Linked DNA regions of Anolis sagrei. The protein of the gene in region 1 purifies or fractionates together with the protein of each later gene. This does not show direct contact. Links are inferred from orthologs where the notes say so. Each region holds a gene or a part of one and is shown on either strand. Other genes may lie near its edges. The genes, in order: COPG2, COPZ1, NUDCD1 and COPB1.

Region 1 (7,343 bases):
GAGGATGTGGACAGGATCCTTGGGGAAGTGAGGCCTACCACATGCATCCTAGACCCCTGTCCATCCTGGCTGATAAAAGAAGCCAGAGGGGGCTTGGCAGAGTGGGTGAAGGTGGTAGTTAATGCCTCCTTACAGGAGGGAAAGTTTCCAGCAAGCTTAAAACAAGCTATCATAAAACCATTGCTGAAAAAGCTGTTGACATAGTAGGGGGTGGTGCGCTCCCTGTATGATGCTCCGGTGAGCAATCTGGCTGCTGCCCGTTGGACTAGTTAAAGCTTCCGAACAGTCTTCAAAGGCAACCCTGCGTAGAGTGTGTTGCAGTAATCTATTCGGGATGTAACAGCATGGTCATAACACTTGAATAACACTTTATTTATATTCTGTGGCTATCTTTATGTTTTATGTTTTGGACTATTAAAACAGCCAGAAAGTAAGTGCTGTTTTAATTAAATTGTTTAACAAAAACTGGGAGTTTGGTTCATCTCTGCCTAAATATTGGCAGAGCCCTAGCATCGTGACAGTTGCTGTACATTTTTTGGCCTACCACATGCATTGTATGGCCATGTTCCAGCAGCGTTCTCTCCTGACATTTCACCTGCATCTGCGGCTAGTGGTATCATCAGAGATTCTGTTGCTACTGAGACACGTGGAGTATATATGCAGTGTTCGCTCACTTAGCCCTCCTCGCCTTTTGCTTCACCAGGTGAAGAGAGAGAGAGAGCGCAGGAAAGAAAGGAAAGGCCTTCAAGGTAGGAGAGAGAGAGGACTGAGGAGGGAAAGCGCCTCGGAAAGCGGCAGCAGAAAAAACCCGCGAAACCGCGAAAATACTGTGATATATATTTTCAATTCATATTTAATTAAAAACCGCGAAACAGCGAGTCTGCTAAAAGCGAACCGTGAAGTAGCGAGGGAAGACTACACCTATGGAATGTCCTGGGTGGGAGAAAGGACTTGGTTAGTTGCAACATTCTTATTTACTTACTTAGGCAATCCCTTGTAGTCCAAGGATGATGGTCCTCCAAGTTGGGTGTACTGGAGGTGGGTCCATAGGTGACTGTGGAGCCCTATTCTTGAGCTACCTCTTCTCCCACAGTGAGAGCATCGGTTTCCAGGTGGAAGGTGGTCCCGGTCGGGGTTGGGCTTCCTCTTGGCATGTTTCTCTCTTTCGCCCTCCATTCATGCCTCTTCAAATTCTGCAGCACTGCTGGTCACAGCTGACCTCCAGCTGGAGCGCCAGGGCTTCCCAGTTCTCCGTGTCTATGCCAAAGTTTTAAAGGTTGGCTTTGAGCCCATCTTTAAATCTCTTTTCCTGTCCACCAACATTCCGTTTTCCATTCTTGAGTTTGGAGTAGCGCAACTGCTTTGGGAGACGGCGGTCAGGCATCTGGACAAGGTGGCCAGTCCAACGGAATTGAAGCAACATTCACACTCGCTTCAAAGAGATCCTCCCACCCGGGACATTATTCCATAGGGATATATACACTCCACTTGCTTCACTTCCAACAGACCTCTGAAGATGCCACTCGCCACAGATGCAGGCGAAACGTCAGGAGAGAATGCTGCTGGAAAATGGCCAGAAAGCCCGGAAAACTCATAGCAACCCATTTTCTAGCGTTACACCATTAAGCTGTATTTCTGGCATTGCGGAGGGATTGGTTGGTGCCTTCTGGTGTTAGAAGAATATTTTAGTTTTCTTGATGTTCAGTGAGAGGCCAAGTTCCCCACAGGCTTCTGCAAAGATATTATGCAACACTATTTTCAAGCTGCTGATGGTTGACTCCATGGATACGGAGAGGTGACCGTATTCAGGGAGTTATCATGAAAATGCAAAAAGTGCATTACATTAAGTAAACCTCAGGATTGTTATGCTTTTGCGCAAGCATTTCTCTTTCCCTGGCTTGATCTGTTGAATCCGTGTCCTGGAAACAATAGCCATGTTTATTGGCAACAGCCATTCTGACTGCCAGGACAGTATAAATAGACAGCCAAGTTTAGATAGGTTTCATTTTAGGAAATCCTGGATTTGTGCAAACTTAACCTGGAGAGTAACTTACTTACTTAGGCAATCCCTCATTGTCTGAGTAGGATTGTCTTCCAAGATCAGTGTCCGTAGCTGACTGGGGAGCCCTATTCTTGACCCGCATCTTCTCCCGCAGTGAGGGTGAAAGGGTCTTTGAGTGAAATTTGCAAATGCTAAGCAAGGGGCTTTGAATGAAATTAACAACAAAAGAGAAATATACCCTATCTCTGTAGAAAAGGAACAACACGGAAGAAAATGTTTTAAAAACAAGAGGCATCATGTAGAGGTCATACAAAGTTCAAGCTTACATAGGAAGTTGGGTTGTGGTTAAGTGCAAAGGTTGCAGTTAAGCGCAGAGTCTGCAGGTACAAGAAGGTACTTTCCATCAAAAGGTCAAGGGAGGGGGGCTGGAAAGAGAGTACTAGTAATCCCTTGTATTACTTGAGTATATAACGGTGTACAAAAGCCAAGGGGGTGTGGCAGTCTGTTAAAGCACAAACAAAAGTGCTGTCTGTCCGTCTCATGTCGATCAGCTTGAATAAATGGGGTCTCACATGAACCAATTAGACTGTGGATTTCTTCGAAAAGGGACCCTGCACCCTAAACCCTTGATCCCTTACAAGGGCATTGGTTTCCTGGAGGAAGGTGGTCCTAGTTGAGGTTGGCTTGATGCGCCTTCCTGTTGGCACGTTTCTCCCTTTCGCCCTCCATTTGTGCCTCTTCAAATCCTACAGAATTGTGTCCAATTCTGGGCACCACAATTCAAGAGAGATATTGACAAGCTGGAATGTGTCCAGAGGAGGGCGACTAAAATGACCAAGGCTCTGGAGAACAAGCCCTATGAGGAGCGGCTTAAGGAGCTGAGCATTTTTAGCCTGAAGAAGAGAAGGCTGAGAGGAGATATGAAAGACATGTATAAATATGTGAGAGGAAGCCACAGGGAGGAGGGAGCAAGCTTGTTTTCTGCTTCCTTGGAGACTAGGACGCAAGGGAACAATGGCTTCAAACTACAAGAGAGGAGATTCCATCTGAACATGAGGAAGAACTTCCTGACTGTGAGAGCTGTTCAGCAGTGGAACTCTCTGCCCCGGAGTGTGGTGGAGGCTCCTTCTTTGGAAGCTTTTAAACAGAGGCTGGATGGCCATCTGTCAGGGGTGATTTGAATGCTTCTTGGCAGGGGGTTGGACTGGATGGCCCATGAGGTCTCTTCCAACTCTTTGATTCTATGATACAGCACTGCTGGTGACAACTGACCTCCAGCTGGAACGCTCAAGAGCCAGGGCTTCCCAATTCTCAATATCTATGCCAGAGTTTTTAAGGTTGGCTTTGAACTCATCTTTCAATCTCTTTTCCTGCCCACCAACATTTCGTTTTCCGATCTTGCGTTCGGAGTAACCCTCTCTGCTTCATTTGGAAGAATGCTGCACTCGCAGAGCTCAGGCGGTGTTGTCTTTCAGTGTCAATGTTGACTTTTGTGGAGAGGTAGCTGCCAAGGGAGCAGAAATGGTCAAACTATTCTAATAGTGCTTGGTAATACTGGGAGTTCCGTGGAATGAAGAAAAGGTCACGGAAGGCCTTGTAAAATCTGCAATTCCCAGCATTCCACAGCATTGAACTGGTGCAGCTTAAAGTGGTATCAAACTGTGTTAATTCCACAGTGTAGATGCACCATTAACTGTAATTTGGACTGCAAAAAAGAAGTGATGCCAAGGATTAAATGGTTGCCTTTAAGAGTTGTGGATAATCTGGACTGCAGCTCCCATGAGCCACTTACTATGCTGGAAAATCTGCAATTCCCAGCATTCCACAGCATTGAACTGGGGCAGCTTGAAGTGGTATCAAACTGTGTTAATTCCACAGTGTAGATGCACCATTAACTGTAATTTGGACTCCAAAAAAGAAGTGATGCCAAGGGTTAAGTGTTTACCTTCAAGAGTTGTGGATAATCTGAACTGCAACTCCCATGATCCTTGCTGAATGGGGATGATGGGAGATGGAGGGTCAAAAGCTTCCCCATTGACCGCCTTATTGATTCCCTAGAATCAATAAACAAAAGGAGTGTAAATATATGCTGCGGCCCCTTTAAATCAGGCTGGTTGCTTCCTTGTGGGCGGGGCTACAAGGGAGAAGGGGCGGGCCATACGCAAATCAAGACTGACGTACTGTATTTCTCCTTCCCTTCCGTGTGGGCGTGGCTACAAAGGAAGGGGGCGTGCTGTATGCAAATACAGACTGATGTCAGCAGTTGAGAGGGACGAATGGGCGTGGCCCTGAAGTTTTGAGTGACAGCGCCTTCTAGCCAATGGAAGCGTGCATCCAGTGGGAAGGCGGGACTTCCTTCCCGGATTTGTGAGCGGTGGAAGCTCGAACTCGGCGGCCAGAAGCCGAGCCGGCCGCCGCCATGATCAAGAAGTTCGACAAGAAGGATGAGGAGTCTGGTAAGAGACGGGCTGGGAGGGCTGGCGTCGCTAAGGTGGCAAGCCTTTCGAGGTAGGCCCCGTTGCTAGGCAGATTGGCAAGCCCCTTGGGATAAAGGCCAGGCGGCCCCGTACATAGAGAGGAACTTAGGCCTCAAGCCACGCCCCAGGGCTGAAGCCACGCCCCCAGGGGCGTGTCTTCAGAGGAGAGCATGAAAGAGGCGTGTCCTGCTTGTCCTTAATAAATAATAAAAATAATAATAGGAATAATAATAATAATAGTAGGAATAATAATAATAATAATAATAGGAATAATTAATAATAGTAGGAATAATAATTGTAGGAATAATAGGAATAATAATAATAATAGTAGGAATAATTAATAATAATAATAGGAATAATAAAAATAATAAGAATAGGAATAATAATTGTAGGAATAATAATAATAGTAGTGGTAGGAATAATAATAATAATAGGAATAAATAATAATAATAGGAATAATAATAATAGGAATAATAATAATAATAGGAATAATTAATAATAATAGTAGTAGTAGGAATAATAATAATAATAGGAATAATAATAATAGTAGGAATAATTAATAATAATAATATGAATAATAATAATAGGAATAATTAATAATAATAATAGTAGGAATAATAATAATAATAGGGATAATAATAATAGTAGGAATAATAATAATAGGAATAATAATAATAGGAGGAATAATTAATAATAATAATAATAGGAATAATTAATAATAATAATAGTAGTAGGAATAAGTAATAATAATAGGAATAATAATAATAGTAGGAATAATTAATAATAATAATATGAATAATAATAATAGGAATAATTAATAATAATAGTAGGAATAATAATAATAGTGGTAGGAATAATAATAATTAATAATAATAGTAGGAATAATAATAATAATAATAATAGGGATAATAATAATAGTAGGAATAATAATAATAGGAATAATAATAATAGGAGGAATAATTAATAATAATAATAATAATAGGAATAATTAATAATAATAATAGTAGTAGGAATAAGTAATAATAATAGGAATAATAATAATAGTAGGAATAATTAATAATAATACTAATAATAGGAATAATAATAATAGTAGGAATAATTAATAATATTAAATAATTAAATAATTAATCAAAGCCATGGTATTCCCTGTAGTAACCTACGGATGTGAGAGCTGGACCTTAGGGAAGGCTGAGCGAAGGAATATCGATGCCAGATCAGCCAGAACCATTGAGAGGCCCAATGTTTACGCAGGTCAGAAAGAATTCGGCAGTTAAGGCCAAAAACAGGGGGGAGTAGGAACCAGTTTTTGGGACTTAAATTGAGCTCTTAGAGAATTTTCTTTAGACCAGGCACTGTTTGGAATCAAACTCAAGTCTCCTGGATATTCCTTTTTCATGTGGCTTTGTCTCTAAGGATTCACGGCTTTTCAAGTGGATTAGCAGTGGCTAGTCTGTTCATGGGTTTATTCTAAAGTCTTTTTGGTTATTCATTGCCTGTGGATTATTTCTGCGAGGTTGGGACATGGATATAATTCCTTTGTTTGGACACTGCTTATGTTGCTGCTTTATTTGGCTTTTTGCTTATTTTTATAATAAGATGAAATTTTTATAATCATCTCTTTTATTGGTTCCAGTTATTCTTAAAATAAAAAGGACTCTTCCTTCATTCAAGGTGTGGTGTAATTAATGATTAGAGAGTCCCGTTCCTGTTCTAGGATGCAACACCTTCTACCTACTGGCTGTTAGGAATTGTGGGAGTTGAAGTCCAAAACACCTGGAGGGCCCAGGTTTGCCCATGCCTACCGTAGAGCCAGACCGGAAGATGTGTGGCTCCTTTAATGGGGATATTAGCCAAAGATTCTTCCCCATCTCTATTTATTACTGGTTAAACCCCTGTGCCAGCAGTACTGAAGACCGACAGGTCGCAGGTTCGAATCCGGGGAGAGGCGGATGAGCTCCCTCTATCAGCTCCAGCTCCTCATATGGGGACATGAGAGAAGCCTCCAACAAGGATGATAAAAACATCAAATCATCCAGGCGTCCCCTGGGCAACATCCTTGCAGACGCCCAATTCTCTCACACCAGAAGTGACTTACAGTTTCTCAAGTCACCCCTGACACGACCAAAAAAAACCAAAAAACTGGATAATGTGGATAATGATGTGCTTCTTTCCCTTCTTCCTCAGGGAGCGGCTCCAACCCTTTCCAGCATCTGGAGAAGAGCGCCATCCTTCAGGAGGTGAGGCCGGGCCCTTTCATTGCATCTCAGAAGTACAGGATGTGCGTCCTTCAACTCTCCCTGTACGTATTTCCTGCATTATTTTTGTCCATCTCCCCATAGGCTCGGATCTTTAACGAGACCCCTATCAACCCACGGAGATGCCTGCACATCCTGACCAAGATCCTTTACTTGCTGAACCAGGTATTTATTTATTTATTTACAGTATTTATATTCCGCCCTTCTCACCCCGCAGGGGACTCAGGGCGGATTACAGTGTACATATGCATGTGAAACATTCAATGCCATAGACAAACAACATATATAGACAAACACACAGAGGTTATTTAACATTCCACCTGTCGCACACCAAGGCTGGAAGCACACCTTTAAACCCACAAACACTCCAAAGTTCTTTAGCAAATAAACAGTTTATTTGAATAAATGCAAGCAGTATCAAGAAAGGTGAAAAAGGCAAGTAAAAAGTTGTATAAGAAAGTCTAAAAACCATCTGACCCAGCAGGTCAGCAAATACAGTCCATCAATACAGCATAGTTGATACTTATTTCCACAGCAAAATCCACGAATGCATAGTCCTTAAAACCCACAAAGGATAATGTCCAAAGTCTCTTGAAAAGCCAGGAAACA
Region 2 (7,371 bases), on another chromosome or scaffold:
ACTGCTAAAAAGACATATGAATGAGTCCTAGAGCAAATCAAACCTGAACTCTCCCGAGAAGTCAAGATTGCTAAACCGAGACTGTTATACAAATCATGAGAAGGTATGACTCATTAGAAAAGACAGTAATGCTTGGTAAGGTGCAAACACTTAAAGACAAAGTCCACATTCCAGGTGGTTAGACTCAAGCAAAAAAGCCACCAACTTGAGCCTGAAAAATCAGATGAGGATAGAGTGAATTGGTGGTCTCTCATTCATAGGGTTGCCATAAGTCAATGTACAGTTGGCAACAGTTAACAGCGAAGTCCATAATCTGTACAGAACTAATAGCTCAGCAACTAAACAAGGCCCCATCTAAACTGACAATTTAATTCAGTTCAATGTTCGATTCAAACTGTAGCTGCCTGATAACAAACTCCTACAAAAGTACACAAAAGAAAGCCCTTAAGCTTTGTGTAGTCACTATCCGGGCCTCCAACTGGTTCCAGGATTTCCTGGAACCAGTCAACACTGGTTTGAAACTGCATTAAACAGTCATTGTAGTTTGGATATTCTATGAAGTAAAGATAAGTCTACAACAATCATATGTGTATGGCATCGCAATCTTAAGAATGTAGTCTAAAGCTGTAAGATATAGGACACCAGCAACCTTTCCTCCTAATGTGCAATGGATTGGCCCAATATTTGTGCCCAATGACAACTGTTTCTTATTTTCCTAGACCCTCTCTAACTTGCAGATCAGCACCAGCCCATGGACTACTGCTTTGGACAACACTGCCTCTAAGTCCTGTAATAATCAAATGCTTGGTGAGTCATGTTAACTTCAGCAGTGGACACATACACACAGCCCTCATTAGTAATTGTCTGAAGCCCCAGCATTTCCTATAACAGTTTCAGGTTCTTTTAATATAGGGTTACAATGCTGCATTACAAATGAACACAAGCAACAACTTCTATGGAGGATCTCTGTGAGGAAAACTAACCAAGGCCCCTTCCACACAGCTGAATAAAATTCCACATTATCTGTTTGAACTGGAATATATGGCAGGGTGGACTCAGATAACCCAGTTCAAAGCATAAATTGTGAGATTTTCTGTCTTGATATTCTGTGTTTTATGGTGATGTGGAAGGGCCCTAAGGCCTCATCTACAAGGCCATATAATCCAGTTTCTGAATCCAATTTATCTGTTTTGAATTGTTATATGTTATATGGCAGTGTAGACTCATATAATCAAAAGCAGATAATCTGGATTCACAAACTGGATTATTTGGCAGTGTAGATCCAGCATAATGGGAGACCAATTATGGTGACAGGTTGAGTATCCCTTATTTGAAAAGCTTGAGACAAGAAGTGTTTTGGATTTTGGAATAGCTGTATTTGAATATACACCCAACATGTGGTATCTTCAAAAGCAGGGATCCCAATCTAAACATGAAATGTATATACATTGCTGGTGGTATTTTAAGCACAATATTTTTAATAATGAAAGTAAGTTCACAGAACACAGTTTGTCTGTACATAAGGTTTTAAATTCTCTGTGTTATTGTTTATATGTGAGTTATATTAATTGCACTGTTTATTTGCTTGCTGTTTTGGTTTTACTGATGTGTTGTTGGGCTTGGCCTCATGTAAGCCACCCCGAGTACCCTTGGGGAGATGGTGGTGGGGTATAAATAGTTTTTTTAAAATTATTATTATTATTATTATTATATTGTCTAAACTGAAGCACCCACAAAGAGGACAATGTCTCAGGTACTCAGGTGGATAATTTGGGAGTATTTCCAGATACCCAACAAGGGATGCTCAACCTGTACCAGCTGATGGACTCTTCTCTTGGGAGTGATCTCCCTTTTCAAGGAGGCACAATTGAGATGAATAACATAGAATCATAGAATCAAAGAGTTGGGAGAGACCTCATGGGCCATCCAGTCCAATCCCCTGCCAAGAAGCAGGAATATTGCATTCACATCACCCCTGACAGATGGCCATCCAGTCTCTGTTTAAAAGCTTCCAAAGAAGGAGCCTCCACCACACTCCGGGGCAGAGAGTTCCACTGCTGAACGGCTCTCACAGTCAGGAAGTTCTTCCTCATGTTCAGATGGAATCTCCTCTCTTGTAGTTTGAAGCCATTGTTCCGCATCCTAGTCTCCAGGAAAGCAGAAAACAAGCTTGCTCCCTCCTCCCTGTGACTTCCTCTCACATATTTATACATGGCTATCATCTTTTTGGATTGGCCGATTTGTTTCGCCTGTCACCCATGGGGATTGGAAGATGCTGGAGAAATGTAGTTCCTAGTTTATAGGGAGCAAAGGGGCACTTTATTCCTGCCTTATAATAGTTGGGAGTTCAAAGGATCCATTCACTGCAGAGGCAATGAGTGCCTTGACTAGACTTAAAAACAGTTTTGTCTTCACATTTCTGCTCTATGGTCATATAGATAAGGCTACCTCTTCAGCTGCCACGGCTCCCTGGGAGTTGTAGTTTTACAAGGCCTTGCCAATGGTCCTCAACATGTAGGTCCCCAAATGGGGCCTTCAACTCCCAGAAATCCTAACAGCTGGTAAACTGGCTGGGATTTCTGGGAGTTGTAGGCCAAAACACAATGGTTGGGAACCATTGCTTGGGCCTTCTTTGGCCAGAGGGCTGGGACCTCACCAAACTACAGCTCCCAGACTCCACAGCATTGAGCCATGGCAGCCAAAGTGGCGTCAAGCTGTCTTTAATTCCATAGCGGGGGAAGCGGCCCCTCTGTTCCCTGCTGGAGGCCCCCTTCCCAGCCCAGGCCCGGACCCAAGGAGGCCCCCAGCAACCGGCGACGGGCCCCGCCCACCGGGTCCCGTCTCCATGGCGACGGCGCGCGCCCTCGCAAGGCCCCTTCTCCCCCTCTCTTGCCCCTCCGGCTCCTACCAGGATCAGCGCCTCCATCTTGGTCGCTTCTGATGCCGACGTGGAGCACGGACCTAGCTTGCACCGGATTGGCTGGCCTCGGGCCCGTCTCTCCGTTAGGCCCCGCCTTCGCCGCGCTGAGCGACTGCTGATTGGCCGCCTCTCGACTTCCTCGTCTAACCTGCCACCTCTTTCACCAGGGCTGCCTTTTCCCTCACTGCACAACAGGGAGGGGGCGTGGCTCGCCTTGAAGCCCCGCCTCCGTTTGTGATTCGAAAACGAAGCTGTCACTCACTTGCCCTCGCTTCCCAGCTACAGGAAGGAAAGAATGCGCCAGTTTCCATGGTGAAGAGGGAAGCTCTTAAGGCAGAGGCAGGATTGGGGCCTGGCTCAGACACGTGCTTGAAATTTATTTTATTTTTATTTATTTGTCGTGTCAGGACAACCAGTCAAATTATATTACATTTCTAACAGAACAAAGCAAACAAACAGACAAAATACAAAATGTGTGAGTTTGGTCGTTGATTAAATGTCCTTTGACCAGTATCTGGCCACTTGGAGTGCCTCTGGTGTTGCTGCAAGAAGGTCCTCCATGGTGCATGTAGCAGGGGTCAGGTTGCATTGCAGCAGGTGGTCAGTGGTTTGCTCTTCTCCACACTCGCATGTCGAGGATTCCACTTTGTAGCCCCATTTCTGAAGGTTGGCTCTGCATCTCGTGGTGCCAGAGCGCAGTCTGTTCACTCAGTTTTCTGTGTGCCCAGGAGGGAGTCTCTCATTTGGTATCAGCCATTGATTTGAGGTTCTGGGTTTTAGCCTGCCACTTTTGGACTCTCGCTTGCTGAGGTGTTCCGGCGAGTGTCTCTGTAGATCTTAGAAAACTATTTCTAGATTTAAGTCATTGATGTGCTGGCTGATACCCAAACAGGGGATGAGCTGGAGATGTCACTGCCTTGGTCCTTTCACTATTGGCTGCTACTTCCCGGCGGATGTCAGGTGGTGCAATACCGGCTAAGCAGTGTAATTTCTCCAGTGCTGTAGGGCGCAGACACTCCGTGATAATGTGGCATGTCTCATTAAGAGCCACATCCACGGTTTTAGTGTGGTGAGATGCGTTCCACACTGGGCATGCATACTCAGCAGCAGAGTAGCACAGCGCAAGGGCAGATGTCTTCACTGTATCTGGTTGTGATCCCCGGGTTGTGCCAGTCAGCTTTCGTATGGTATTGTTTTTAGCACCCACTTTTTGCTTGATGTTCAGGCAGTGCTTCTTGTAGGTCAGAGCATGGTCCAGAGTGACTCCCAGGTATTTGGGTGCGCTGCGATGCTCCAGTGGATTCCTTTCCAGGTGATCTTCAGAGCTCGGGATGCTTCTCTGTTCTTGAGATGAAAGGCACATGTCTGTGTTTTAGATGGGTTGGGGATCAGCTGGTTTTCCCTGTAATAGGCAGTAAGAGCACCTAGAGCTTCGGAAAGCTTCTGTTCTACCATCTCAAAGCTCCCTGCTTGAGCAGTAATGGCACGATCGTCAGCATAGATGAAATTCTCTGTCCCTTCTGTTTGAAATAATATCATACGAAAGCTGAATGGCACAACCTGGGGATTTATTTATTTAGTGTCAAAAGCATTGCATAAATTAGTATCTATATAAATAAAAATATAATGTTCGTTTGTGGGATTAACATAACTCAAAAACCACTGGATGAAATGACACAAAATTTGGACCCAACACTCCAAACAGACCAATGAGTGACCATCACTCATACTCCCCATCCAAAAAAAAAAAAAAAAAACCAGTGGAAAGGACTTAAAACCTCCCAAAAGATAAATGACGAAAAGATAAATTACATACAGAAAAAAAGGGAAGGAAGAGGGAGAGAAGGAAGGGGAAAAGAAAGAAGGAAACAAAGAGCGAAGGACGGAAAGGTAGAGAAGGAAGAAAGAGGAAGGATGGAAAGAAATGGGGAGAGAAAAAAGGAAGGAGAGAAGGAAAGAAAAGAAAGGAAGGAAAGAGGGAGCGAAGGAAGAAGAGAAAGAAAGAGAAAGAAGGAGGGAAGGAAAGACAAAAGGAAGGAAGGAAGCAAAAAGCAAAGGAAGGAAGGAAAGAGGCAGAGAAGGAAGGAAGAAAGGGAAGGAAAAGAAAAAGGGAGGAAGGAAAGCAGAAGAAGGAAGGAAGGAGAGAAGGAAAGAAGAAAAGGGAAGGAGGGAAAGAAGGAGAGAGAGGGAGTGAATGTTGGCCACAGCAACGCGTGGCAGGTACAGCTAGTCAAACTGATAAAAATAGAAAGAGCGCAGGCGGCTAAATATCTTTTGACTAAAAATGGGCCTCCAACAATTTTTCCTCTGTACATGAGGCAGGGCATAGTGGACAAGCATACAGATGCAGAGTTGTATGTTCACACAAGGTGTGGGATTCTTTTAGTTAGTGCCATTTTGCCAGATTATCTTTTGATCTGCCCACTCCGCTTCTGAGTCTATTCAGGGACTTCCAAGTTGCCCGCTCTTGGAGGAAGACCCTCATGGAGGCCATCCAGTTGGAATTTCTTCGTTTAGCTGCCCAGAGGGATACCCTTGCTGTTGCTGGGGGGACGCCAAGAGGAGTGGTAGTTTTTTTTGGGGGGGGGGATAGCTTGTAGAGTTTGTCAACAGGTGTAAGCTTAAGACATCCTGTGATTATTCTGCATGTTTAGTTCAATGCTATGTTCACCGGCTTTGCATGGGCAGACTTATGCCAAACTTATTCCAAACAGGGCAGGCAAGGCATACTCGGCAGTTGAGTTAGACAAGGCTAGGGCTGATGTTCTTATTAATTTTGGGTCTGCACCCCATGTTCTGCCAGCACATTTCCGCAGGATGTTATTGTGTGCAGCTACTTCGTGCTTGGTGTTCAAGCAGTGTTTCCTATATGCTAGTGTTCGATCTAAGGTGACACCGAGATATTTAGGATGGAAACAGTGTTCAAGCCCTTGACCTTCTCTTGACCACAACCTGGAGATCACAACCAGAGACAATGAAGGCATCTGCCCTTATGCTTTGCTACTTTGCTGCTGAATACGCATGCCCAGTGTTATTATTGTTATTATTAATAATTATTTATTACAGTCTATGACCAGCACACTACAGAATGGAGCCCAGGGGTCCAAGGAAGGAAATCGCAGTTCCCAAGTAAGTCAGATAAAAAAGCAGATTTGTAGTTTAGGGAAGATCCAAGCAGTCCATAATCCAGGAAATAAAGCCTGACTGGAGGAAAGGATAGTAGAGGCAAAAATGAAGTACTTTTGCCACATAATGAGAAGACAGGAAAGTTTGGAGAAGACAATGATGCTGGGGAAAATGGAAGGAAAAAGGAAGACGGGCCGACCAAGGGCAAGATGGATGGATGGTATCCTTGAAGTGACTGGCTTGTCTCTGAAGTAGCTGGGGGTAATGACGGCCGACAGGGAGCTCTGGCGTGGGCTGATCCATGAGGTTACAAAGTCAGAAGCAACTGAATGAATAAACAACAAATATTAAAAGATATAAAGCTCATAAAAACAGTTCAACTAAAATAATACACCACTCCCAAAGCCCATTAATTAAAACATTTAAAAGCCTACCTGAGCAAAAAGCCATCAGACTAAACTACAAGACTGTAGAATTAATGCAACTTGATATCACTTTGGGCCCTTCCATACAGCCCTATATCAAGGCAGAAAACCCCCACATTATCTGAGTGTGGATTGAGATAACCCAGTTCAAAGCAGATATTGTGAGATTTTCTGCCTTCTGGGATATAGGGCTGTGTGGAAGGGCCCTTTGACTGTTGTGGCTCAATGCTATAGAATCACATGAGTTGTAGTTTTACGTCTTTAGCTTCTCCAACAAATAATGCTGGGGGCTCACTAAACTCCAACTATCATGATTCCATACTATAGAGCCATAGCAGCTAAAATGGAGTCAAACTGCATTAATTCTACAGTGTAAAAGAGCCCCTCTTGTGTCCCCACCAACAATGCTTGTGATGATGGTGGGGCTGTGAAGGGCTCCTTCTGATGATCTTATATTATGGTACATTGTTTCCAAGCCTTTGTGCTGTTTTTGTTTTGTTTTGGTTTTTTTTGTCATCAAAAAACAGGGAAATGCCTCTTTGAGAGGTTAGAGGCAGTAAGAGGTTTTTTCAGCCCCAATATGCAAGTGTTTAGGACCATATACCTTTAAGGTTTGCTCACCACTGGAATGCCTCCACACACACCTATGATGATTTCCTAAACCTTTGTTTTAAGGTCTTTTGTACAGATACCATTCAAGCCAACCCCTATCTGTAGAAGTGTAACAAAATCTTCATAGGTGTCTCGCCACCAGAGGGCAGATGAATAACTTCAAAGGAAAGCCCCTAGAAATATTCATGAGGCCACATGGTTTCTGGAAGTGGTGCATTTGCAGACAGTGTTGAAAAATCTCCACTGCTAGGAACAGCAAGAAAAGCAGGGCAATCACCAGCATTGAAG
Region 3 (7,691 bases), on another chromosome or scaffold:
TATTAGATCAGCCCCCTCACCCCAGACCTTCCGCAGAAATGTGAAAACATGAGTTTTTGAACAAGCCTTTGGAACTATGTGAAATCGAATATTGGAATGGCTTAGATGATGTTTTTGGACAACTAGGCTAATAGTGAAGGTAGTGGTTTATATGTTTTTAAAGGTTTGAATGTATGTACTTTATAATTCTATTTTAAATGTTTATTATAATTTTACATTGTTTTAATGGCATCAAACAGCTGCCTATGTAGTAAAGCCACCTTGAGTCACCTTTGGGTTCAAGAAAGGTGGAGTAGAAATAACGTAAATACATAAATAATAAATAAACTGCATTAATTCAACAATGCAGATGCACTCTTGGGCTGAAGATGCAGTTAGCACAAAGCAACTATTAGCGGCATATACAAAGCAACTATTAGCTGCATATGTACCTAATATGCAGAGACATTTTAGGTACACATTTCAGTTTTAATTTCATATTTAGACTTGTGTCTCATCAATATCTCATTGTGGATATTGTTTTTAAAAATATATTTTGGATAAGGGATACTCAACCTGCATCGCTGCAAAGTAAACATTTTTATAAAATCAAACCTCTTTTTCTCTTTTTCTCTTTATTATCCAATGCTGTCTGGAAGGCTTAGGAAAATATTTAATTATCATTTTTTGTTGTTCATTCGTTCAGTTGCCTCCAACTTCTTGTGACCTCATGGACCAGCCCATGCCAGAGTTCCCTGTCAGCGGTCACCACCCCCAGCTCCTTCAAGGTCAAGCCAGCCACTTCAAGGATACCATCCATCCATCTTGTCCTTGGTCGGCCCCTCTTCCTTTTTCCTTCCAGATACCCATGATGCTCAGGGATTTTTCAAAGCCACAAAGGTCATCTATGGACCAAGAAACCATGGCATACAGCCTGTACACTCATCAGATGGAACCAAACTTCTGAAGGACAAAAAAATCAATTGCACTACGTTGGAAAGAACACTACCAAAGCCTCGGGCTTTATTTCCTGAAATATGGACTGGTTGGATCTTCTTGCGGTCCAAGGCACTCTCAGAACTTTCCTCCAACACCACAGTTCAAAAGTGTCTATCTTCCTTCACTCAGTCCATCTCTCACATCCGTAGGTGACTATGGGGAATACCACTGCTTTAACTATGTGGATTTTGGTTGCCAGTGTGATGTCTCTACTCTTCACTATTTTATCGAGATTGGTCATTGCTCTCCTTCCAAGAAGTAAGCGTCTCCAGATTTCCTGGCCGCGATTTCTTGACAAAGTCTATCACGGCCTCCATGTTTTCTCCCTCTATTTGCCAGTTATCAATCAGTTTGGTTGCCATAATCTTGTTTCTTATATATATATATTTAGCTGCAACCCAGCTTTTGCACTTTCTTCTTTCACCTTGATTAGAAAGCTCCTCAGCTCCTCCTTGCCATCAAATTGGTATCATCTGCATATCTAAGGTTGTTAATGTTTCTTCCAGCTATTTTTACCCCAGCCTTGCATTCATCAAGCCCCACACATCGCATTCATACAAGTTGAATAGGTTATTATTATTATTAACTTTATTTATACCCTGCAAAATCTCCCGAAGGATGCGGCTTACAAAGGCCAAGGCCGCCGACAAACAACAACATACAATACACAATAAACTCATAAGCAAATAATAAACATCAAGCAAAACAATAAAACAGTAAAACAATGACACCGTGATGCAATTAAAACCTAAAGGCCGGGCCAAATGTAATGGACAAAATTTTAAAAGTTCTGAACTTGACAGGTGATATGTAGAGGTATTTGGTGGTAGGTGCAATGTGCAGATAATCCTGAATCTCTAGCAAAGTGCATTTGGGACTTGATGCCAGGAGTTTCCTATTCTGGAAAGGCACACTGGAACAGCCAGGTCTTCAAGCTCTTCCTAAAGACAGCCAACGTTGGGGCTTGTCTGATGTCCTTGGGGAGGGTGTTCCAGTCGGGGGGCCACCACAGAGAAGGCCCTGTCCCTCGTCCCCACCAAACGCGCCTGCGACGCAGGTGGGATCGTGAGCAGGGCCTCTCCAGATGATCAAAGGGAGCGTGCGGGTTCGTATTTGTTTGGTCACGCAGGTAGGCAGGTCCCAAACCGTTTAGGGCTTTGTAGGTGAGCACTTGCACCTTGAATTGGGACCGGAAAATGAACGGCAGCCAATGGAGCTCCTTGAACAGGAGGGTTGACCTCTCTCTGTAAGGGGCCCCAGTTAACATCCTGGCTGCCGCCCGCTGAACTAGCTGAAATTTCCGAGCCGTTTTCAAGGGCAACCCTTGTGAAACTACAACTCCCATAATTCCATAGCATTGGGTGAGAGTATGCAACCGTGTTGTACGCCTTTCCCAATTATATCAATTTTAGTATTTAGTTATTTAATATCCCATTTTCATGTCTTTATGTTGTTTGGTACTTGAATGTGTATCTATGTTGATATACAGTAAATTTAATGTTTAAAGAAACTTTCTGAGAAATGTCCTAAAGAAGGAGCAGTTATATTAATCTGAACTCATGCTACATCAGAATTATGAAGGTGTGTCTACACCGTAGAATTTAAGAAGTTTGACACCACTTGAACCGCTTTTGCTGAATGCTATGGAATCATGGGATTGCTGAGGCCTCAGCCCTCTTTGGTAGAGAAGGCTACAGCCCTTGTGGAACTACAACTCCCATAATTCCATAGCACTGAGCCTTGGCAGTCAAAGGGGTGTCAAACTGCATTAATTTCACGGTGTAGATGCACCATTATGACTTTTAAAAATGAGGTCTCCCCGACCAGCTCAATTAAACAGCTGAGAATGGGAAAAAGTGAGTGAGAGAGAGGCAGGTACCTGTCCCGGAGGCCCTTCGCTTCCTCCCGGCTCTTTCCTCCCAAAGTCGCCTCCAACTCCCCGCCGCGCAGCCGCAGAAACGCCCAAGAGGGTCCCGCCCACCGCACTACGTTCTGACCTCATGCCTCGCAAAGCAGAACGGGAAACGTAGTCCTTTATTGCGTCTCCCCTTGTTCTCCAGTGTCTCAAATGAACTACAAGTCCCAGAAGGCCGCATTCTCAAAGCAGCTCTCCCTTATCTCCTGGATGTTCTATATTAGGATAGGGTCTTATTTAAAACGGAGAAAATGAATCAACTAAATAATAATAATAATTATTATTATTATTATTATTAATTAATAAGCAAAATTAATTGATGCTATGGGATGGGGCAAATAAATGGGATTTATAAATCAGTTATATTATGAATCAACTAATAATTAATTAAATAGTAACTAATGAGTAAAATTGATTAATGCTATTGGGGCAGGGGCAAATAAATGGGATTTATAAATAAGTTATATTATGAATCAACTAATAATAAAGAATTAATTAATATTAATAACTAACATTAATTAATGTTATTGGGATGGGGCAAATAAATGGGATTCGTAATTAAGTTATATTGCCAATCAACTAATAATAAAGAATGTATTAATTAATTAATAATTAATTGAGTAAAATTGATCAATGCTATTGGGATGGAGGCAAATAAATGGGATTTGTATTTAGTTATATTGTGAATCAACGAGTAATAAAGAACTTATTAATTAATAATTAATTGAGTGAAATTAATCAATGCTATTGTGGCGTAGGCAAATAAATAGGATTTGTAATTAAGTTATATTATGAATCAATAATAAAGAACTTATTAATTAATTCGTATTTAATTGATGAGTAAAATTGATGCTACTGGGGCAGAGGCAAATAAATGGGATTTGTAATTAAGTTTATTGTTAATCAACTAATAATAGATAACTTATTAATATTAATGAATGAAAATAATGAATGCTGTTGGGGTGGTGGCAAATAAATAGGATTTATAAGTAAGTTATATTATGAATCAACTAATAAAGAACGAATTAATTAGTAATTAATTATTAATTAGTAAAATTAATCAACACTATTGGAGACGGGGAAAATAAATGGGATTTATAAGTAAATTCTATTATGAATCAACTAATAAAGAACTAATTAATTAGTAATTAATCATTAGTCAGTAAAATTGATTAATGCTATTGGAGGCGGGGGCAAATAAATGGAATTTATAAATAAGTTATATTATGAATCAATTAATAAAGAACTAATTATTAATTAGTAAAATTAATTAAGGCTATTGGAGGCGGGGCAAATAAATGGAATAAATAAGTTATATTATGAATCAACTAAGAAAGAACTAATTAATTAGTAATTAATTAGTATAATTAATAATTAATTAGTAAAATTGATACTATTGGAGGCGGGGGCAAATAAATGGAATTTATAAATAAGTTATATTATGAATCCACTAATAAAGAATTAATTAATTAGTAATTAATTAGTAATTAGTAACATTAATTAAGGCTATTGGAGGTGGGTGCAAATAAATGGAATGTATAAATAAGTTATATTATGAATCAACTAATCAAAAACTTGCTAATTAATTAATAATTAGTAATTAATTAATTAGTAAAATTAATTAATGCTATTGAGGTGGGCAAATAAATGGGCTTTTAATCCCCTGTGGATGTGCTTCAGGGATTCCTCATAAACAAGTCTTTGAATGAGAACAGCCAAAACGCAGAAGTTGCCCACTCAGTGGCCCGGATGTAGTTCTTGAGCAGCAGTCACTCAAAAAACTACACTTCCCAGAACGCTTTGCTCGCACTCTTCTACCTAGAAGCCTCTGCGGGCTGGAAGAGGCGTCCTGGCTTCCCTGGGCCTCTAATAGGAGAAGAAAGAAGCGATGGAGGACAAAGCGGCGGCCAATTGCTCCCTGCGGGTCAAGCGCCCCCTCTTGGACCCCAAGTTCGAGGGCTACAAGCTGTCTCTGGAGCCGCTGGCCTCTTACCAAGTCGCCCTGGACTCCCGTAAGTGGATCTCAGCACCAGAGACTGGCCAGGCGGGAAGACACAATCAAAGCCCTCCCGACAGATGGCCAGCCAGACTCTGTTTAAAAAAGGGGCTGGCAAAAAAGGGATATCCAGGATTCTATAGTTAAAGTAGTGTCAGGTATGATCCAAAGCAGGAATGGGCAAACTTGGGGCCTCCAGGTGTTTTGGACTTTAACTCCTACAATTCCTAACAGCCGGTAGGCTGTTAGGAATTGTGGGAGTTGAAGTCCAAAACACCTGGAGGGCCCAAGTTTGCCCATGGCTGGTATAGACAGCGACACATCCATGGGGTTGATCTTGTCATTTGAAAGTTGTAGTTGCTGGGATTTATAGTTCACCTAGAATCAAAGAGCATTCTGAACTCCACCAACGATGGGATTGAACCAAACTTGGCACACAGAACTCCCATGACCCAAGTTGGTGAACTACAACTTCCTTGAGTTTTGGGAGTTGTAGTTCATCTACATCCAGAGAGCACTGTGGACTCAAACAATGATGAATCTGGACCAAACTTTGTTCAAATACTCAATATGCCCAAATGTGAACACTGGTGGAGTTTGGGGAAAATAGACTTTGACATTTGGAAATTGTAGTTGCTGGGATTTATAGTTCACCTACAATCAAAGAGTATTTTGAACCCCACCAATAGAATTGGGCCAAACTTCCAACACTGAACCCCCATGACCAACAGAAAATGTGTTTTCTGATGGTCTTTGGCAACCCTACTGGAACCCCTTCATGACCCCCCCCCCCCCCGGGGTCCCAACCCCCAAATTGAGAAACACTGAATTAAGTAAAAGTAATATCTAAACAGGGAGAGCCATATTACAAGCGTTAGGATTGTCTGTGGCCCCCATCTACACAGCTATATAATGTTTGCTGCCAGTTTCCTACAAAGCACAGTTCAAAGTACTGGCTTTGCCCTATAAAGCCCTCAATGGCCCCGGCCCAAATTACCTGTCCAAACGTATCTCCCTCTCTGAACCAACAAGGAGGTTAAGATCTGCTCTCGGTCTCATCACCTTTGCAGGTGCGACTGGTGGGGACAAGAGACAGGACCTTCTCAGTGGTGGCCCCTCAAGCTGTGAAACTCCCTCCCTAGTGGCATTTGATTGGCCCCTTCCCTGCTGTCATTTTGCAAAAGAGTGAAACCTTGTCTTTGGGATCATTTCGGCCAGCATAATTATGGGTGCAATATAGTTGGAAGTGATGCATGCCATATGCCAGCAAATATGGAAAACACAAGAATGGCCATCAGAGTGGAAAAAATCAACTTATATCCCCGTACCAAAAAAGGGAAATGCGAAAGACTGCTCCAACTTCCGTACAGTGGCCCTTATTTCTCATGCCAGTAAGGTAATGCTCAAGATCCTGCAAGGAAGACTCCAGCAATACATGGAGCGAGAGTTGCCAGATGTACAAGCTGGGTTTAGAAAAGGCAGAGGAACGAGAGACCAGATTGCCAATACCCGCTGGATAATGGAGAAAGGCAGGGAGTTTCAGAAAAACATCTACTTCTGCTTCATTGACTATTCTAAAGCCTTTGACTGTGTGGATCATAATAAACTGTGGCAAGTTCTTGGTGCGATGGGCATCCCAAGCCACCTTGTCTCTCTCCTGAGGAATCTGTACAAGGACCAAGTAGCAACAGTCAGAACTGACCACGGAACAACAGACTGGTTCAAGATTGGGAAAGGCGTACGGCAAGGCTTCATACTCTCACCCAACCTTTTTAACTTGTATGCAGAACACATCATGCGATGTGCGGGGCTTGTTGAATGCAAAGCTGGGGTGAAAATTGCTGGAAGAAACATTAACAACCTCAGATATGCAGATGATACCACCCTGATGGCCGAAAGCGAGGAGGAGCTGAGGAGTCTTCTAATCAAGGTGAAAGAAGAAAGCGCAAAAGCTGGGTTGCAGCTAAACATCAAAAAAACCAAGATTCTGGCAACAAGAATGGTTGACAACTGGAAAATAGAGGGAGAAAATGTGGAGGCCGTGACAGACTTTGTATTTCTAGGCACAAATATTACTGCAGATGCAGACTGTAGCCAGGAAATCAGAAGACGCTTACTTCTTGGGAGGAGAGCAATGTCCAGTCTCGATAAAATAGTGAAGAGTAGAGACATCAGACTGGCAACAAAGATCCGCCTAGTCAAAGCCATGGTATTCCCTGTAGTAACCTACGGATGTGAGAGCTGGACCTTAGGGAAGGCTGAGCGAAGGAAGATCGATGCTTTTGAGCTGTGGTGTTGGAGGAAAGTTCTGAGAGTGCCTTGGACTGCGAGAAGATCCAACCAGTCCATCCTCCAGGAAATAAAGCCTGACTGCTCACTGGAGGGAAAGATACTAGAGACAAAGTTGAAGTACTTTGGCCACATCATGAGGAGACAGCAAAGCCTAGAGAAGACAATTATGCTGGGGAAGGTGGAAGGTAAAAGGAAGAGGGGCCGACCAAGGGCAAGATGGATGGATGGCATCCTTGAAGTGACTGGACTGACCTTGAAGGAGCTGGGGGTGGTGACGGCCGACAGGGAGCTCTGGCGTGGGCTGGTCCATGAGGTCACGAAGAGTCGGAGACGACTGACCGAATGAAAACATAGTTGGAATTGCCTTTGGATTGATGAATAGGATGATCTGACTTTGGATCGATGCACAATAGTTGTCTAATGTTTACATAGGTTGTTTTAATGTTGTTTTAAATTATTGTTTAATTGTTGTTGTTGTTTGGGCATAAAATAATACCGCTCATGTAGGCC
Region 4 (7,270 bases), on another chromosome or scaffold:
ATAATTTTAAAGTAAACAATCCAATTAATGTGCAATACAAGCATGTAACCTTAACCCTATTGAGAAAATCAAGGCTGCAGCCTAATGCAAACCTATTCAGAAGCAAGCCCCTTTAGATTCAGCAAGGGGTACTATCATATGATATATTATCAGATAAATATGTACACAATTTATCTGTGTCATACGCACATTGCACAAGTGTTAAAATATAGTAGCAATGGAAAATAAACAAATTTATATTGTTACAAAGCTACCTTAATAAATGACTACAATATCAAGCCTTTTCTGATAAGGAGTGCACACATAAGGAAGATACTACAGAAACATAAGTGACTATACATCTCATTAAAATAAAAGGGCAGGATCAAAACTGAGCACCTTACGATCCACCATTATAACGGTTAGACTGAAATATATACTTAAAATTTCAATAGATTTAAAGAAACCACTGTGAATGACTTATTTTAAAATATATAGCTGTGCCAGCTAGGAAAGATGGAAGAACATTCAACACATCTGGAAAAGATCAACAAAGTCAAGAGGGCAAAACAAGGACAGTAGAGTAGGCTATAAGAAAGATTTATGGGTTTGTTTGTGTGTGTGTGTGTGTGTGTGTGTGTCAGGAGCAACTTGAGAAACTACAAGTCACTTCTGGTGTGAGAGAATTGGCCATCTGCAAGGCTGTTGCCCAGGGGACGCCCGGATGTGTTACTATCCCGTGAGAGGCTTCCCTCATGCCCCCGCATGGGAAGCTGGAGCTGACAGACAGGAGCTCACCCCACTCTCTGGATTTGTACCACCGATCTTTCGATCAGCAGTCCTTCCAATACAAGGGTTTAACCCATTACCATTATTATTATTATTATTATTATTATTATTATTATTATTAGCCACCTTGATGAGCATTTAATGACCTGAAGTTTCAAGGCCTGGCTGGTTGCTGCGTGGGGGAATCCTTTGTTGGGAGCTGTTAGCTGGCCCTCATTTATCCTTGTTTAGAAATCCTGTTTTCTGAGTGTTGTTCTTTATTTGCTGTTATGATTTTAGAGTTTGTTTCAAAAAAGACTGGTAGCCAGATAGTGTTCATTTTCATGGTTTCCTCCTTTCTGTTGAAACTGTCCACATGCTTGTGGATTGCTCTGGCTTTTCTGTGTAGTCTGACATGGTGGTTGTAAGAGTACAATTCCACAGATATATAAACCTCACTTGCCTAGTTTCTTGGGGTTGCCTTTGAAGACTGTTCAGAAGCTCCAATTAGTCCAACGCTCTGCAGCCAGGTTGCTCACGAGAGCTGGGTACAGGGAGTGCACACCCCCCCCCCCCCGTTACACCAGCTCCACTGGCTGCCAATTCGCTTCAGAGCACAATTCAAAGTGCTGGTTTTAACCTACCAAACCCTATACAGCTTGGGCTCGGTTTACCTGGCCAAACGTATCTTCCCCGATAAACCATTGAGGATTACAAGATCTTCTAGAGAGGCCTTGCTCTCGGTCCCACCACCTCCGCAGGGGCGTTTCGTGGGGACGAGAGACAGGGCCTTCTCTGTGGTAGCTCCCCCCCCCCCCCCCGGACTATGGAACTCTCTCCCTGGTGAGATTAGGTCTGCCCCCTCTCTCCTGTCATTCAGGAAGCAGCTAAAATCCTGCCTGTGGGCTCAGGCATTTGCAGATTGATGGATGATTGGATATAGACTAAGAGTAATTTGGCCACAATGTTTTGGACTGAGTTGGACGTTGTTTTAATGTGATGAATTGTTTTTATATGTATTTTAGAACTTATTTATTGTATGTTGTTTTATTATACTATTTATTGCGTAGCATTGAATGTTGCTGTTTGCCGTCCTGAGTCCCTCTACGGAGGTAGAGAAGAACGGCACACAAGAGTTATAAATAAATAAATAAATAAATAGTTTCTAACTGACTTCACAACCTCTGAGGATGCCTGCCATTGATGTGGGCAAAACGTCAGGAGATAATGCTTCTGGAACAGGGACATTCAGCCTGGAAAACTCACAGAAACCCAGTGAATCTGACCATGAAAGCCTTCAACAACACTTTGGCCATCACTGCAGGTGTTTTGGACTCCAACTCCCACAATACCTAACAGCCTCAGGCCCTTTCCTTTTCCCCCTCAGCTGCTTAAGCTGAGTTTGCCCATGACTGGCTTATCTCCTCTTCTGGAGGTCTAAAAGCAGAAACTGGATGGCCATCTGTTGGGAGTGCTTTGATTGTGTTTTCCTCCCTTTCAGGGGGTTGGACTGGATGACCCATGGATCTCTTCCGACGCTAGCCATAAGGCTACTAGGGATTGTGGTGGTTGGAGTCCAAAACACCTGGAGGGAAGTTGGTCCATGCCTGGTCTAGATGCACCCTGAGAGTCTGAAGACCAGGGTTTGCACCCCTGCTCAGCCAAGGAAAGGCAATGAGTGACGCTGGGCAAGTCACACTCTCTCGGCTTCAGAGGAGGGACATTCAAATCCACTTTGAATTAATCTTGTCAAGGAAACCTGAAGCTTTAGAGTCGCCATGACTCAGAAACGACTCGGAGTCTCCCCGCAGGAATAATTCGCGGGATCCAGCGGACAATGCTCCAAATAGCGGGGATCCTGTGGAAGTTCTGCTTTCGGCCCTGGGTTGGTTTGGCTGGCGGCTCCTAGGCTTCGCAAAGCTGGGCCTTCGGAAAGGGAGAGAAGGCCCAGCGTGAGTGTATGTGTGTGAGAGCGAGCAAGCGAGCCCAGGGTCCGCGGCCTCTCCTCCCAGTCAGACGCGGATACAACTCACCGCCGCTCCGTCCTTTCCGTGTGGGCCTGCCCTCGCCCAGGGAGCCTCCGGGTGGCTGCAGGCAATCGGGTGCTATCTTCCCGCGGCGGCCACTACCACTATCCTCCCTCCGCCGCTCACTTCCCCCGCCGCTCCCGCCGCCTTCCTGCTCCCGACTCCTCCAGCTGACGTGGAAGCAGCCCTCCGCGCACAGGCCACATCGGAACTACGGCGGCCCGATTGGGACACGCCTCCTCCGTTCGCGGAACAGGCGTGCTGCCTCCAGAGGGGGAAAGCGCGGCCTCTTCCGCGTCCCTCGCGCCCGGGGCGGGGCCAAGCGGGTTGTCGCATCCAGCTCAGTGCAGCAAAGATCTGTAATGGTAGTACTGCATAATATAGTCCAGGCATGGGCAAACTTGGGCCCTCCAGGTGTTTTGGACTCCCAACTCCCACAAGGACTAACAGCCTCAGGCCCCTTCCTTTTCCCCGTTAGGCCTTGTGGGAGTTGGGAGTCCAAAACACCTGGAGGGCCCAAGTTTGCCCATGTCCGATAGTCTTAAAAATTGTCTCTCCCCCTCATCTATTATAGCTTCTATCAGGGGATTGGGTCATGCCACATTATCGTGGGATGTCTGCGCTCTACACCACTGGAGAAATTACATTGTTTAGCCAGTATTGCACCATCTGACATCGGCCGGGTAGTAGCAACCAATAGTGAAAGGACTAAGGCAGTGACATCTCCAGCCCACCGCGTTTGGATAGCAGCCAGCATGCCAACGACTTAAATCAAGAAATAGTTTTCTAAGATCTACAGAGAAACTTGCTGGAACACCTCAGCAAGCGAGAGTCCAAAAGCGGCAGGCTCAAACCCCGAACCTCAATCAATGGCTGCTACCAAATGAGAGACTCCCTCCTGGGCACACAGAAAACTGGGCGACTTGGAAGGCGTTGAACATACTGCGATCTGGCACCACGAGATGCAGAGCCAACCTTAAGAAATGGGGCTACAAAGTTGGATCCACGACATGTGAGTGTGGAGAAGAGCAAACCACAGACCACCTACTGCAATGCAACCTGAGCCTTGCCACATGCACAATGGAGGACCTTGCAGTAACACCAGAGGCACTCCAAGTGGCCAGCTACTGGTCAAAGGACATTTAATAGAATACCAAGTCTGCAAACTTTGTGTTTTGTCTGTCTGTTCATTTGTTTTTAATGCAATACAATTGTTTTGGTTCACTCCTGACACGATAAATAAAGGGGATTGGGTTGTGGCGCAGCTGGTTGGGAGCCAGCTGCATTAAAATCACTACTGACCGAAAGGTCACAAGTTCGAAGCCAGCTGGGGTCGGAGTAAGCTCCTGACCATTTGTCTATCTTGCTGTCGACCTTTGCAGCCCGAAAGACAGTTGCATCTGTCAAGTAGGAAATTTAAGTACCACTTATGCGGGGAGGCTAATTTAACTAATTTACGATGGCATTTGAAAAAATCTCCAGCAGTGTGCACGGTGAAACAACAACTCCACCGTGGCCGGAATTCGATCATACCCTCGTGAAGCTGGAAAGTTAAATAGCCTCTGTGTGTCTTTCTATATATGTTGTGTGTCTATGGCATTGAATGTTTGCCATGTATATGTGCATTGTGATGTGCCCTGAGTCCCCTGCAGGGTGAGAAGGACGGAATATAAATACTGTAAATAAATAATCAAGTTCTTCTGTGTTTTAGTTTCAATTAGTTACGCACTGTTTATTGTAATAAATTTCTATTTTAGAAGGGCGTTGTGATGTTTGCTTTGTGTAGTTAAGTTTTAACTGTAGACAGGAATCACACCTGTATAGAATGTTTTTCCTTTTTTTTGTCATTTTCTCCATTATTTAATGTTGATCCCCCCGCCCTTGGGATCAATAAATTACAGTAGTGAATAAGGAATATGATGCTCCAGTTGTGTACTACAGAGTAGAAATGATACTACTATGGTGAAATGTCAGAGCTCAGACAACAATACCCCTTGCCACATATAAAGAGGGTTAAGAGGGGAAGAGCAAGAGGCTGGCTGTTTGTCATGAGAATGGAAGCAAAGAAAGAAGATATATAATGAAATGGGCTAGTTTATAAAGATTTAAACTGAAACAATTGCTCCAAGCCATTCAAAATGCTCAAGGGGAAAAGGCATTACTGCTTTCTCTTCTTTCATCATCATCATCACCATCATCATTTAATTACTTATTAATCGCCCTCCATCCAAGATGCTCTTGGCGATTTACAAGCTGAAATTGTAAAGGATAAAAATACATACATACAGATATTGATAAAATTAACATAGATCAAATGCTCTAGTAAAAAGCCAGGTCTTAAGTGCTAGGGTAAAAGGCCCTAACTCACGAATGGCTCTCAGGGCGGCAAGGAATTCCACAAGGCAGGGGCAGAAATAGAAAAAGCTCTGCATCTGGTCCTTTCCAGGTGCACTTCTCTAGGACCTGGTATATAAAGTAAGTCATGTTGGGATGGTCGTTGCGACCTCTGATGATGGGAGAATGAGAGACGGTCCCTAAGGTACGATGGACCCTGGCCGTAAAGAATTTTAAAGGTCAGAACTAACATCTTATACAGGCCACGGTACTCAGTTGGAAGCCAATGTAAATGTTGCAGCACTGGTGTAATATGGCAGTTATTCTTTCCCTATCATTTACTGTATTTTCAGTGTTACCATTCATAGTTCATATACAGTACAGGCAGTCCCCAAGTTACAAACAAGATAGATTCTGTGGGTTTGTTCTTAAGTTGAATTTGTATGTAAGTAAGAACATTTTAAGTGCAACTCCAGCCATTTATATAGGTATATATTCCACAAGAAACCATTTTTTTCTTTCTGCACTGTCAACACCTATTACAACACTGAAAGAGTCCACATGACTAGGACCGCTTATATTGTTGTTGTGTGCTTTCAGAACATTACAGTGAATGTAAGGCGAACCTATAAAAGAGTTTTCCTGGCAAAATTTGTTCAGGGGTTTGCCATTGCCTTTCTCTGAAGATGAGAAAGTTTAATTTCCCCAAAGTGACCCTGTGAGTTTTATGGATGAGCAGAAATTTAAACTATAGACTAATGCTCAAACCACTATACCAAACATGTTCTCATAACAAGGGCCTGGATTACAAACAGAAGAAAAATAAAGACAATGCAGCATTCATTATTTAAATCATTGGATCTTTAGTATGAAACAAATAGTTAACTATTGTTTCATACAAGTCAAAAATGCTTGACTATGCTGAATTATTTAAGTTCTTCAATATTGTCTGGTTTTTGAAAGTTACTCCCTTTGTAAAATGAAACCATTTCACAAAACCAAAGTGAACATCATGGCAATACGAATTATAGTATTAAATGACTGGCTGATGTTTCTCTGACTAATCAGATAAAAAAAGCTAAAACAAGACATTTCAGGAAAGAAAGATTTATTAACAGATGCCTTTAAAAAAGCAACTTTTTATATAAAACAGTATTCCATACTTTTTTTTAAAGAAAATGACAGCTTTTCTTGTCAAGATAAATGGTCAGTTTATTAATTCCCCACTGCCAGTGTCAAGATTTTTGGCAATACATTTTGAAGACTGACTCACTATAACATGTCACTACAATACGCATTCATCTCAGAGTTAAGTTGCCAGAATACAAATGAAGACTCCCAGCAGTGCTGCAATTGGAATAAACCCCATATTTTGTGCGCAGTATTTAGTGCTCCATTGGCTCCTCAGGCTTTTCTGCTGTTTCCTCAGCAGGTTGAGCAGTCTTAAAAAGATAAAAAATAGGCAAGTGTTACACTTTTAAGCTTCACTGATCCCAAACTGTAAAAGAAAATCTCGTAATGAAATGCTGCAATCTTTATTCAATATAAAAGCTACAGAACTGGGTATAAGATCTAATCTTCAATTTTCCATTTTTCTTTATTCAAAGTCAAATGGTTTCATTTTTTGTCAGAATTTGTTTATTTAATTCATATGCAGTACTATTTTAACTAAATGTTTAATCTTCTAATAAAAAAATATTGAGCGGAAATTCCAGTTACCTCCAACCAAACGTTTTATTGATAAATGTGATTTTGTGATTGAAAAATCCAATGAAGTCAGTCCAGAATAGCCTGTTAGTGTTTAGTAACTGAAATGTGTTTACTAACAATTTCAGCTTCTAAACTGTGGCACCCAACATTCAAAATGTGCCGACAAATATTGGGGTATCCCTTCAGATCTGGGGGGGGGGGGAGTCTGCCATTTCCTATTGAATTATTGAACAACAGAACAGTTGTAGACACTCATTTCATCCATGTTTCAAAAACGAGGAAAGCCAATTAAGGCTAGATAAAGGACAAAACATTTGTCTGGTGCAAAAAGAGCAAAGTAAATACCAGGTGTGCTACCCTGGATAGAGCATTTGGCAGAAGAGATGCTGCCAACACAGAAGTATCTTTGCTATCATCTAATCTTTGAAGGACCTCAAATAGAAAATCAGCAT

Evidence for each region.
Region 2: the proteins of COPG2 (region 1) and COPZ1 fractionate together in Homo sapiens (co-fractionation; 5 studies listed by BioGRID and IntAct, with this or other methods). This does not show direct contact. The link is inferred for Anolis sagrei from reciprocal best matches to the Homo sapiens genes COPG2 and COPZ1.
Region 3: the proteins of COPG2 (region 1) and NUDCD1 purify together in Homo sapiens (co-immunoprecipitation; 3 studies listed by BioGRID and IntAct, with this or other methods). This does not show direct contact. The link is inferred for Anolis sagrei from reciprocal best matches to the Homo sapiens genes COPG2 and NUDCD1.
Region 4: the proteins of COPG2 (region 1) and COPB1 purify together in Homo sapiens (affinity purification with western blotting; 4 studies listed by BioGRID and IntAct, with this or other methods). This does not show direct contact. The link is inferred for Anolis sagrei from reciprocal best matches to the Homo sapiens genes COPG2 and COPB1.

What each region holds. Positions count from the first base shown.
Region 1 is NC_090025.1:194,475,131-194,482,473, forward strand, and holds the start of COPG2 (coatomer subunit gamma-2), read left to right. Parts: upstream 1-4,337; 5' UTR 4,338-4,421; coding exon 4,422-4,458; intron 4,459-6,663; coding exon 6,664-6,716; intron 6,717-6,818; coding exon 6,819-6,899; intron 6,900-7,343. UniProt on the Homo sapiens protein: The coatomer is a cytosolic protein complex that binds to dilysine motifs and reversibly associates with Golgi non-clathrin-coated vesicles, which further mediate biosynthetic protein transport from the ER, via the Golgi up to the trans Golgi network.
Region 2 is NC_090022.1:188,474,489-188,481,859, forward strand, and holds the start of COPZ1 (coatomer subunit zeta-1), read right to left. Parts: upstream 3,015-7,371; 5' UTR 2,927-3,014; coding exon 2,909-2,926; intron 1-2,908. UniProt on the Homo sapiens protein: The coatomer is a cytosolic protein complex that binds to dilysine motifs and reversibly associates with Golgi non-clathrin-coated vesicles, which further mediate biosynthetic protein transport from the ER, via the Golgi up to the trans Golgi network.
Region 3 is NC_090024.1:26,949,884-26,957,574, forward strand, and holds the start of NUDCD1 (nudC domain-containing protein 1), read left to right. Parts: upstream 1-4,690; 5' UTR 4,691-4,781; coding exon 4,782-4,905; intron 4,906-7,691.
Region 4 is NC_090021.1:250,245,645-250,252,914, reverse strand, and holds the start of COPB1 (coatomer subunit beta), read right to left. Parts: upstream 3,005-7,270; 5' UTR 2,781-3,004; intron 1-2,780. Other genes in the region: PSMA1 (proteasome subunit alpha type-1), read right to left, coding at 6,494-6,550. UniProt on the Homo sapiens protein: The coatomer is a cytosolic protein complex that binds to dilysine motifs and reversibly associates with Golgi non-clathrin-coated vesicles, which further mediate biosynthetic protein transport from the ER, via the Golgi up to the trans Golgi network.